3 linked regions of the Arabidopsis thaliana genome follow. The protein of the gene in region 2 interacts with the protein of the main gene of each other region in a biochemical or structural test. Each region holds a gene or a part of one and is shown on either strand. Other genes may lie near its edges.

Region 1 (3,756 bases), 2.0 Mb from region 2:
AAACCAATAAAATCAAACGCATTTTACTCTATCTAACTACTTTGTATTAAAATTTCTTTTGTTCCTCTTCGTTATTCTCTAAAGATTCACAATGCCAGCTAGCTCTAAGCCCTCACGATGGAAAACAGACTTTCGAAAATATAAAATCAAATAAATAAATGGCCATGTCTTGTTAAAAAATGTTTTAGAACATAAATGAGACAACTATGGATCTCTTTAAATTGGAAGATCGTCTGGCTTTGTTGTCTGATATTTGTCATTGATTCTACATATGTGAAAGTGTGTTTTAGCTGGATTTCTCGTTTTTTCTAGTTAATGCAGAATTAATTGGTCCAAGTGGTTACATAAAAATACTATGCTCATAATTATTGTGCTTAGCCTGTATTTGACGACACTTTAGAGATATAGAGCATGTACCACTTAAGCAAAGAAGACATTTATGAAATTGGTTCATGTACCTAAACTAAATTTGACAATAACCAAAATTTAGATAAGGATTTCTAGTAGATACAAAAATCTAAATAATTATAGCTCTAATCATTTATAACCAAATAAAAACACAGTTAGACCGTACATGGTATTATTGGAGAACGTTGTACAAAACGCAATCCAGTGCATCGAACTAATTTGTTTTTATAAGTTCTTAAAGAGGATTTTCCGCATAAGTTCCCTTTTAAGTTCTCAATAAGTCAAGCATATATCTAACTAAATATACACATTGACACATATATCAAATTAGTAATAAAGAGAGAAAAAAAAGAGAGTAAGAGTCACGGACCTCACTGGCAGAGATGTATCCATTTTGGTCTTTGTCAAAGACTTTGAATGCTTCTTTCAGCTCTTCCTCCGCATCACTTTCCTAAACCATCACATGATCATGACAACAACTTAACATACAAAAAAACTATTGTCATAAAAGTCTTTGTTTACATTATACACATTTACGTGTCTAGTTCTTCACAAATCAGATTTATTCGTAGTGAAAAACCGAAAGCAAAACAGATTTTGCTGTAATACAAAAGCTGAATATTTCCAATATATTTCTTAAGAGTTTTTAATAAACTAGAAGCATAATGAATGAGACAGCTCCATTTTGACTAGAACCTGTTAGGATCCCATATCAAAGAGTTACAATAAGGGACCTATAACATAATATATAAGAAATCATATAGACAAAAAAATTTCACTTGATGTAACTTTTTGGTTTGTACGTGGCTACGTTAACTTGATGTAATTAGTTGTGAAATAAATAAGCATGAGAGATCAAGAGAGAGTGGAACCTGAAGTTTTTTGGCCATGAGGTTGAGAAACTCAGCAAATTCAATGGTGCCGTTGCTATCAGAATCAATCTCAGTGATGATATCATGAAGTTCTTGTTCTGTCGGATTCTGATCCAACGAACGGATCACTGTTGCAAGTTCTTCCACCGTTATACAACCTATTAAAGGATTCCAAACAACCATAAATAAATGTCACACAACATAATATTAGTCGTCGTCTTTATTATCTTTATTCTATATATGACCATCTAGAGAAAGGAAGAGAACCGTCGCCGTCTTTGTCGAAGAGACAAAAGGCTTCTTTGAACTCAGTGATCTGATCTTTTGTCAGTGCTGTTTCTTCCATTGTTTTCTGAGAATATTTTGAAGACAAAGAGAGAGAGAGAGAGAGAGGAGGGAGCTCAAGGTTTGAAGTGCTTAAATCTCTGATTTATGGTCTATATGTAGAGTTGTGACAAGACCTTTTCTACATTGGACTTATGTACTTTTCAACTACTTTAAGCTCTTTAATTGATTCTCAAATTATTTTAAATTGAAAGGGCAGTACTGTTTTTTTTTTGGGTCTAGAACTCTTGGATTGAACAATTTAATTCTAGTCACATGGCTGAATCCCATATAATAAATTAATAATTGTCGCTGTTTGTTAAAGTTCAAATCACTTGTGCAAAATTAGTTTTGAAAAAATCATCTTATTCTAACAAGTAGAGACTACTACAAATAGACATAGAACGACAAGTCCTAAAACAAACAAGTATAAGCCTACAATAGTCTTTGATAAAACGTCCCTAACTTTTTCTGTCTAGTTCAAACCCATTAGCCACTCATTTTGTACGCAACAATTATGTTCTTTTGTTTTTTGTTTTTTTCTGTTTTTTCTTAAATAAAAATAAAAATATTTTATTGAAATGATAAAAATATAAATTTACAATCAAAAGATTTTAAGCCTATACAAATGATCCTATAACAAGAAAAATAAAACATAGAAGCATACATCGTGATTCACAAGTTTTGGTCAATCAACTCAACCAAAGCGTTGAAGCCGAACGAGTTAGATAAAAATATGACTATTTTGAAATTTTATCTTATAATTAAGTTTTTTGTTTTTTGTTTTTTTAAGAAGAAGGGTAACTACTGCTTGAAAAAAGCATAATGCTAAACTATTTGCATTAAAAACTTTGAATTGGAGGTCTAAGGATGAGCCGTCAACGGTAGAAACTCAAAGTTCTCTGGCATAAACTCCTCTCGCGTCATGTGACAGTGACTCGTTGTTCAAGTCCATAAGCTTTCCAATAATATGGAACCTCAAGAACCAAATTATGCGAACGATGCAAGCTCCATCTACCAATTTCTTTCCCCAAAGTCGGATAGAGCAGAGCATGATTTATGCGATTCATAACCACATCGAACACCATCGATCTTACTAACTCTTCTAGAACACAAAACAAACGCAACAAGAGGTGATAACTCATTGCAGCACTAACTTCAATTATGAAGAACCGCACTAGCAAGACACATTCAAAACCAGGTAGCACAAATAACTAGTCAAGAAATACAAGTGATGTCAACAAAAGAGACCGCAATTTAGCCACCACCGCAGCTACCAAATACACAATCTGAGAACCGAGACGATGCGATAAACTTGACGCTTTAAACATGTTCTTTTGTTTTTTCTGACTTCAAAATCAGTGATCACACTCTTTTAATACTCAGAAAGAACAACATTGAAATTTGTCTACGTACATCTCAACATAATGACCTCATTGGCCATCTTACCCGCTCCTGTCCATAGAAGACATATTAACGTACAACTCGACTGTCCATAGCTGTGAATGCATTAAGGCTATGAAGCTTAACTTGGCCAGCATGATTTTGTAGAATCCGTGCGTTCCCACACAATGATTTAAAAGTTTATCCACACAAATCATTCTATTTTCAAATTTGTTCCGATCGACGACATTTTCTAGAATTCACGGAGGTAGGAATTTTGAGAATATTACAGATTCATTTGAATCACATATTCACACCACTTATTTATTTTCCTATACATTTTGTTTGAATAATTGCGACTGTTTTTATATAACAGATGAAAATATATATTCCACGTCACATATCATAATTGAGAAGAATATCTACTGCTAAAAGATTGTAATCATTAAGAAGAATATCTACTGCTAAGAAATAATTTAGGAGATACTTGCTGACTTGCATTGAATCTGCAATTGGTATTCGAACAGTAGGGGAAATGCATGTATCATACGTTGCATTATAAGTTCATAAGCACGATATAAGAAAATAATTATAAATAAACGATTAGACGTAGCAAATTAACGAACCAGCAATTTCTTTTTGAAACGATTCAACTTTTCATATTTTGAGTTTCTAGAAACGAATTGTAAAAACAAAAAAAAAAACAAAATTATGGGGCTTTTCTTCATTAGTAATCTTTGCATTTTTACTCTTCCTAGGTGGGAAAATA
Region 2 (3,756 bases):
CAGATCAAGAATTAAAGCATTCAAAATTTACAGTAACTAGTTGGGTGCGAAAAAGTACTTACAAGAAATGTCTTGACATGTAAAAGGCTTGTCTTCTTTAACAGTAACAAGCTTGCTTACTCCAAAGTCTGCAACTTTCAGATGCCCTGAATCATCCCGCAGAATGTTTCTGCAAATATAGTTTTACCAATGTCAGAACGAAAACAGAAAGAGTTTGCTGTCAGTAACTGCACATATAAGAGACAGAAACCACTGATATGGACAGTGTGACTCACGAAGGTTCAAGATCGCGGTGGATTATAGGGTCTCCTTTGATCTCATGAAGATAGCTCATTCCCCTAGGATAATTCGAACGGGTAAGATTTACAAGAGAATCTTATAGAACATATATAAACAACGAAGAAGAGACATATATAGCTTCAACTTGCATACCTAGCAATATCAAGGGCATATCTAACAGCAGTAGCTGGTTTCAATTGTCCTTTTCGTTTGAGCAATTCACGCAAATCCCCCTGAAGAATATATCAAATGAGATCTTGGTTTCGTGAAACTAAATGCAAAAATAATTTCAAATTTATCAGAGAAAGTCAGTACCCTGGGCAAATATTCAGTCACAATCATCATTGGGTTACTTTGGGTTACAGCACCAAGAAACTGCACAATGTTTGGATGCCTAAGCCTTTGGAGCAATGCAAGCTCATCATGGAACTTCCTCCTACACGCACATACAAAAAGATTATGGTAAGGAATTGGAATCCAAAACCTTAGAAGTTAGAACCGTCTACAGGATATTTACTTACACTTGATCGTCATCGCTCAAAACTTCATCATCCAGCTTTTTCACCGCAACTTGAATACCACGCCACATTGCCATACAGTAAGTTCCCTGAAACAAGAATCTTCACACTGTTAAGACAAAAAAGACTCAAACTTATAGATACAAGATCCATTACAGATGAAACATGTTTTTTACCTTTGTTATCTCTTTGCTTTGAGTGAAATCAAGCTCACTAGGATTTATTTCATACTCAGGGACTTCACGAGCAGTCTTAACGTGCATTGGAGCCATCTGAAAACATACAAATGTGTCAACAATCATGAGAAAAACAAATAAGCTTCCAATCAAACACCAAAACCAACATTACTAGCCAGATTCTTACCGGATGTTTAGCTCCATGTATCTCAAGAATCTTGATAACATCAATGTTCTTGTAAAATATCGCATCTGCAAATGGCTGTTTTCTAAAACGTATTAGATCACTAACAAACATCATCATTACTCAACATAACCAGAGAGACAATCACCAAAAAAAAAAAAAGCAATTGGTTTAGTTTCTTCTTACAGTGCTTCCCCAACGATCTTTAGGATCAACCTCAGCTTTCCGATCAAGAAGAAGCTCAACAACATCTTTCAATCCTTGACAAGCCGCCACGTGTAAAGCAGTCCGATCATCAATGTCTCTGTAATTAGCATCAATCCCTGAATCAATAAGCTCCTTAATCCCTTCAATGTCACCTTCATTAGCCAAATACATTAGTCTCACACCACCATCGATCTCTTCTCCATCCTCAAACACCTCTTCTTCTGAGTGAACCGACGGCTCCGGAATCTTCTCCGGCGCCATTGATGATTGCCTACCAATCGTAAACCTCGGCTGTTGATAATCCTCTTCCATTCCAACAAAAACCCTAAAACCCTGATTTGTATCCGAAAATCTCGGAGTGGGTCAACGAAAAATCAAATCTTTCTACAGTAAAGCTCCAAACTTTTTGGTACCCTTTTGAAAACAGAGACCCTAAAACCCCGATTTAAACCCGATTCACACAATCTGAGAAGAGATTGAACAAAGAAATCGCAAAGAGAATCAAAAAGGTTTCTTCTTTTTTGGTTCTGAATGAATAGAGAATTAAACCCAGCGGCGAAATTTATAGGTGAATGATGCCGTAATGGAGAAGACTAAGCTGGTCGGTAAGAAAGTCATCGGAGAGGAAAAGGAGAAGAACCAGCTTTTGTTGAGCGCGTGTTTGTCACGTGATTTTATGCGCGTATATAGACGTCATATCTGGCGCCACGGTAACAATGCGTTGACGAAAAGAGAGAATAACAAATCTTAGCCGTTGATGTAAACAGCGTCAGATGAAACTTAACGGTGTGGATGAACCCGCACGTGTTTGGATTCGATTCGGTTAAACGACTGCGTTTTACATGCGCCGACGAGTTTTTGTAAGTTTGTAACCAACCTGGCTCGTGAATTTTTAAAGTCATGTCTAAAATTAAAGACTTTTTAAAAAGGGGATAAGAATTATAAGATTACATGAGTTCTATTTTGGTTTGAATTCTAAAATGATATATTTACATATTTTCCACTTGTTTTCTTTATCAATTTACAGGGTACTTTAGTTGTTTCTTGATAATAGCCACTTTAGTTGGCCAAGGAAAAAATATACAAACAAATTGGATAAGGTTTCATGCTAAGAATGTGATTCAATTTATTGTGGTGTACATTGAATAGGTAAAGATTGACATCTGCATCCTCATCTTTTTTTTGGGGGTCAAATTTCAGTTTAGAACCAAAACTCGTTTAACTTACTTATTCAACTTCACAACATGTGGATTTGTATGGCTTTAACATTTTTTCTAATTTTTATTTCATCATTTGTCAACCTTTAGACTTAACTATCTTTTCAACCAGTTATGTATAACAACTAACATGCAAGGTCAAGATTTTGACATTCGTATCTTAAGACATGATGATAATCAATTTGTTGTCTTAAATGACAAGTTGTCTAATTATAGCTCATATGTTCCTGCTGAAAACATTTTAATATTACTTCTCCTTTGATTTCAATCCAACTTTATGGAGTTTCTCTAAGTGATTTAGTAACAAATGTCAACTATACATTCCAAATTGGTTCCTAGCTACTCTTATAGAGATGTTTTTCTATAGCTCATTTGGTTTACTAAAATTAAAAGAATATTCTAATTAATTAGATACGAATAGTGGTTGAATGAAAGTATAATAATTAGATTTCATAGCATCTTATTAACCAAAATTGGATACATACACGTCACATGAATGTCAACGTTACTTAAATAAAAAGTTTCAAGAAAGTATTATATTTTACGAAATTCGAGCAAAATCTTACCAAGTTTTGTCCTATACTCGTACTAAATTATGATGAAAAAACTTTACATTAAATTTTAAATCTATGTTAAAACATATGCACATAGCTATCATATTTTAGTTTCGACGAATGACAAGTTGTTTACTTATAGCTTTTTCCTCCTCCTGCACCCTTATCAATGATTCTTATCTTTAATGTCAATTCAAACTTTTTGAACCTTTTGTTAGTAATTTAGTAACAAATGTCAACTAGACTCCAAATTGATTCATGATTGTGTGCTTTTAAATATTATATCTTGAATCATCTTATTATGATATTATCAGTTTGATAAGAGTCCAATGATTCAAATCCTTGACTAGGTCATTCTTCTTCAAGATATAAACCAAAACACTTAACAAGAAACAGAAGGAGGAATATTCCCACAAGATCCATAAACTATGTTCATATTAACATAGAATTAAGCCAGAGGCAAAGATACATTTAGACCAAACCGATAACAAATTTGAGCCGAACCATGGAACATCATACCTTACTAAACCAATGCAGCAGATGAAAACCGAATAAGGGGAGACAAATTGCACACAACACACAAAGCACAAGAGGAAGATTGGAGACTAGGCCCAAAACCAT
Region 3 (3,756 bases), on a different chromosome or scaffold from region 2:
TGTTTTCAATGTTGCAGGGCAGGTTGGTGCGAGGCATGTCATTATTCATTAGATGAGTCCTTATAAGAGTCTTGAAGAACTCTGGGACGGTGAGATATGAGGCTTAGCTGATTTGATCACTGTATGTGCCAAATCATTAACCGATTTAGATCAATTTTTAGTAATGCTACCAGTTTTCAATAATTAGTTCTGCTACGTTTTAAATGTTTTTCTCAAAAGATACATTGATACCCCAATTATATTCGATACTGAAACCATATTACAAACTCATTTTAATAAATTGCATGCAAGAAAAGATGGTAACACAATAAATTTATTACATAGAAATTATTTTCAAAGATCAAACGCCTTTTTAGAGAGATCTAACATACCAGCCAGACCCTAATGGCATAAAGTTACTGATGTACCATTTCAAGAAAACAACGCTTCGAACAAATTTTTGATGAAGTCGGTCATTGGCGCTGCGATGATATTTTTGGCAACCCCGGCCGCCAAGTCCCTCTCCAAAGTGCCACCAGTTGTGTCATATTTAGTATCATGACCTTGATTCCTAGCCATACACACAAGAACTCAGAATGAAATTTAAGAACAAGAGAGGAACATTCTTTATGAAATTAGATAAGAGGTAGTAAAAAAAGGGGAAGCGGAAAAGTTGTTTAAATCTCACTTGGCCATCATAAGCCTGGCAAACTCTCTGTAGTTGATCTGACCATCACCATCAACATCAGCTGCCTTGATAATCTCATCGATTTCTTCATCAGTTTGCTTCCACCGGAGGATAGTCCTCACATATCTCATTTCAGCAGCTGAGATGAAACCATTCTTGTCTATGTCAAAGAGTCTGAAATCTTTCTTGAGGTCTTTCTCAGAGTAAGTGTCCTTAGCCATTGCGCACAAGAACTCAGTGAAATTGATGGTTCCGTCACCATCTAAATCCGAATCGTTGATCTCCTCCTGAAGCTCAGCTTGGGTCAGGTTTAAACCGAGGGAACGCATCACGGCACCGAACTCCTCTGTGGTAATGTGACCTACAAGAAGTAATCAAGGACTTGTGTTAGTCATTTTCAGTGCTTTGAAGATGATTCAGGATCCAATATGTACGATTAGAGGAATAGAGACGATGAACCATACCATCACCATTCTTGTCGTATACGCTGAACTGTTCCCTAAACTCTGAAATCTGTTGTCTAGTGAACTTATTCGCCATTGTTTTTTATTTTCTGTGATGACTGAGAGAAGAGTTTGTACTACGAACTCTCGGCCTTGAAGCCTTTTTTATAAAACTGAATTCACTGCCATGTCAGCTTTTGCTTTCATGTGAGTCGCCTCCTTGGTTTGTTACTCTAATTGGTTGGTTCCTTCTTCCAAATCGTTATCATCATTAAATGCTGTCTTTTTTTTCTTTTCTTTTTTGTATTTCCATTTATTTGAAAGAAACATTTATTTACAATGGACTAGAGACTTAATAATATATGGTCTTCTACAGAAGAAAACAATTGAATAGAATTATCAACGGTGAAGTATTCATTTGGACTTTTGGATGGGTAGTGGACCAATCGCTACATTTGTCTAAATTATTTCGTTGATTTTTCTCGTTGGTTCGTTCCTTCTTCCAAATTCATTAATATTATTTTCGTTCATTAAATGCTGTCTTTTTCTTCTTCTTCTTTTTTTTTTTTTTTTTTTTTTTGTATTTCCATTTATTGACAATGGACTAGAGACTTAATAATATATGGTCTTCTACAGAAGAAAACAATGGAATAGAATTATCAACGGTGGAAGATTCATTTGGAATTTTGGATGAGTAACTGGACCAATCGCTACATTTGTCTAAATTATATTTTACTTTTATGTTATAGTTTTCTTATACTAACTTTTAATAAATAGTTTATAAAAACACTCATGAGTTCTGGGAAGTGCTTCAACGTCCGTATTTATGCAAAACTTAACAAATCATAATAAAGCAAACACTTGCATAAGATAAAAATGAATCGAAGATGCTTATGACGATTGATTATCACATGTTTACTAAAGTGGTGTTGTTGAAGTTAACGAACTTTACCTATGAAAAATCTGATCTGAGGGATTCGCAAGTGCATTCTACTTGAGAACCCACTCCATCCTCTGATCTAACATCTCTGCTTTGGAAAGAATCGCAAGCCAAGGGTGTGGAAGGTTAGAAACTACACAAACGACCAAAAACATGGTACATACGAAATAACGCGAACCATAGTTTCTACCTTGCGGAGATGGCTTGAGTAAGTAAAGTTGACAGCAAACCACTTCATGTTCCTGACTCAAGAATAACACAGGCAGGAGCAATCTCAAGGTAGACTACAAAGCTACTACCCGCAGTGTAATTTTACCCTTGCTGCTGAATGCTTTCGTCCCAGATGGCTTCCCGATCCAATCTGAGTGCTTAAGACTCCAGAAAGACTCTGAAGCAGAGAGTCATAGCATACTTTAACTGCCCAGCTACCAATAATCGCCGCAAGAACACTTTCCGTTAATGAAATGATGGAATCTACTACCATCTCTTAACGTGATCTCTCGGTTCTTGATCACCGATATATATTTGAAAGCAACATGGCAATCACTGCAAACCCGCAAGTTCTTGATTATTCTAATCGGTGCACCTTCAGGTAATATCATGAGCGCAAATGCAACCGCTAGTTTCTCGCTGTGCTGCACCAAGTCTGATTCTTTCTCCTCCTCATCCATATCATGCAATACTGACGCTGTATCAGGCTTGTATCCCTTCAGCTTCATCTCCAGAGTCAGTTCTTTCAGGTATGAATAGATCTCTTTAGATTTAGACTGAGAGCGATCTCCCATCTTAAACTGATGAACTTCACCTTTGTGTTCAAACCAGCTGATTCCCGCTTCTTTCTTCACATTCTTATCTCTCATCGATTTTCTCACCTCTGATACATCGCGCCATCTCTTAGCTGAGGCGTGAACATTTGCAAGCAGGACGTAACAAGCAGAGTCATTAGGGTCAATCTGAAGAATCTCTTTAAAGACTCTCTGTGCCATTTCTGCGTTTTTGTGTATGTTACACGCAGATAACAATGTTTTCCATATAACAATGTCTGTTTTTATTGGCATAGACCTTATTATTGCCTCGGCTTGATCCAAACAGCCTGCTCGACCGAGCAAATCCACCACACAAGTGTAGTGCTTTAAACCTGGCTTGAACCCGTATTTTTCCACCATCATGTCAAACAACTCAAGCCCTTTGTCTTTTAAGCCAGAATGACTACACGCATAAAGTAAATTCAGAAACGCGACCTCGTTTATCTCCATGTTCGTCTGCTCTGCCATAGTATTAAACAGCTCGATTGCCTCATCGCCTTGTCCATGAAACCCATAAGCAGAAATCATTGAGCTCCACATCACTTCATCTTCATCTTCACGTTCCGAGAAAGCTTTAGCTGCATCTCCAAGACACCCACATTTTGAATACATACTGATCAATGAACTAACTACAGCTACGACAGAGCTAGCCCCAATTTTAATAGCTTCCGCATGAATCTGCTGACCTTGACCTCTTATCGCTAAGTCAGAACAAGAACTGAGCACAGTTACAAATGTGATCTTGTTCGGCCTACAACCTGAGATTTTCATCATCTTATACAGATAAAGCACGGTTTCAGGACATCCGTTTTGCGCGTTCCCCATGATGAGTGTATTCCATGCAACCAAATTACGAACCGGCATTGATCTTATAACAATCTCGCCATCTTGCAATTTCCC

What was found.
Region 1: the proteins of AT4G18950 (region 2) and CAM8 form a complex in vitro, tested with the Arabidopsis thaliana proteins (one large-scale study listed by BioGRID).
Region 3: the proteins of AT4G18950 (region 2) and AT2G41090 form a complex in vitro, tested with the Arabidopsis thaliana proteins (one large-scale study listed by BioGRID).

Annotation. Positions count from the first base shown.
Region 1 is NC_003075.7:8,395,670-8,399,425, reverse strand, and holds the start of CAM8 (calmodulin 8), read right to left. Parts: upstream 1,715-3,756; 5' UTR 1,627-1,714; coding exon 1,548-1,626; exon of another isoform or gene 1,464-1,547; coding exon of another isoform or gene 1,439-1,463; coding exon 1,281-1,438; intron 860-1,280; coding exon 779-859; coding exon of another isoform or gene 731-778; exon of another isoform or gene 721-730; intron 1-720.
Region 2 is NC_003075.7:10,373,605-10,377,360, reverse strand, and holds the start of AT4G18950 (Integrin-linked protein kinase family), read right to left. Parts: upstream 2,118-3,756; 5' UTR 1,677-2,117; coding exon 1,344-1,676; intron 1,236-1,343; coding exon 1,161-1,235; intron 1,070-1,160; coding exon 974-1,069; intron 887-973; coding exon 801-886; intron 716-800; coding exon 595-715; intron 513-594; coding exon 433-512; intron 339-432; coding exon 276-338; intron 170-275; coding exon 63-169; intron 1-62. UniProt on the Arabidopsis thaliana protein: Serine/threonine protein kinase that phosphorylates proteins on serine and threonine residues. Mediates blue light-dependent stomatal opening in guard cells by promoting plasma membrane-type ATPases (AHA1 and AHA2) phosphorylation.
Region 3 is NC_003071.7:17,133,274-17,137,029, reverse strand, and holds AT2G41090 (Calcium-binding EF-hand family protein), read right to left. Parts: upstream 1,684-3,756; 5' UTR 1,208-1,683; coding exon 1,132-1,207; intron 1,029-1,131; coding exon 668-1,028; intron 551-667; coding exon 412-550; 3' UTR 31-411; downstream 1-30. Other genes in the region: AT2G41082 (uncharacterized protein), read right to left, coding at 2,101-2,205; AT2G41080 (pentatricopeptide (PPR) repeat protein), read right to left, coding at 2,476-3,756.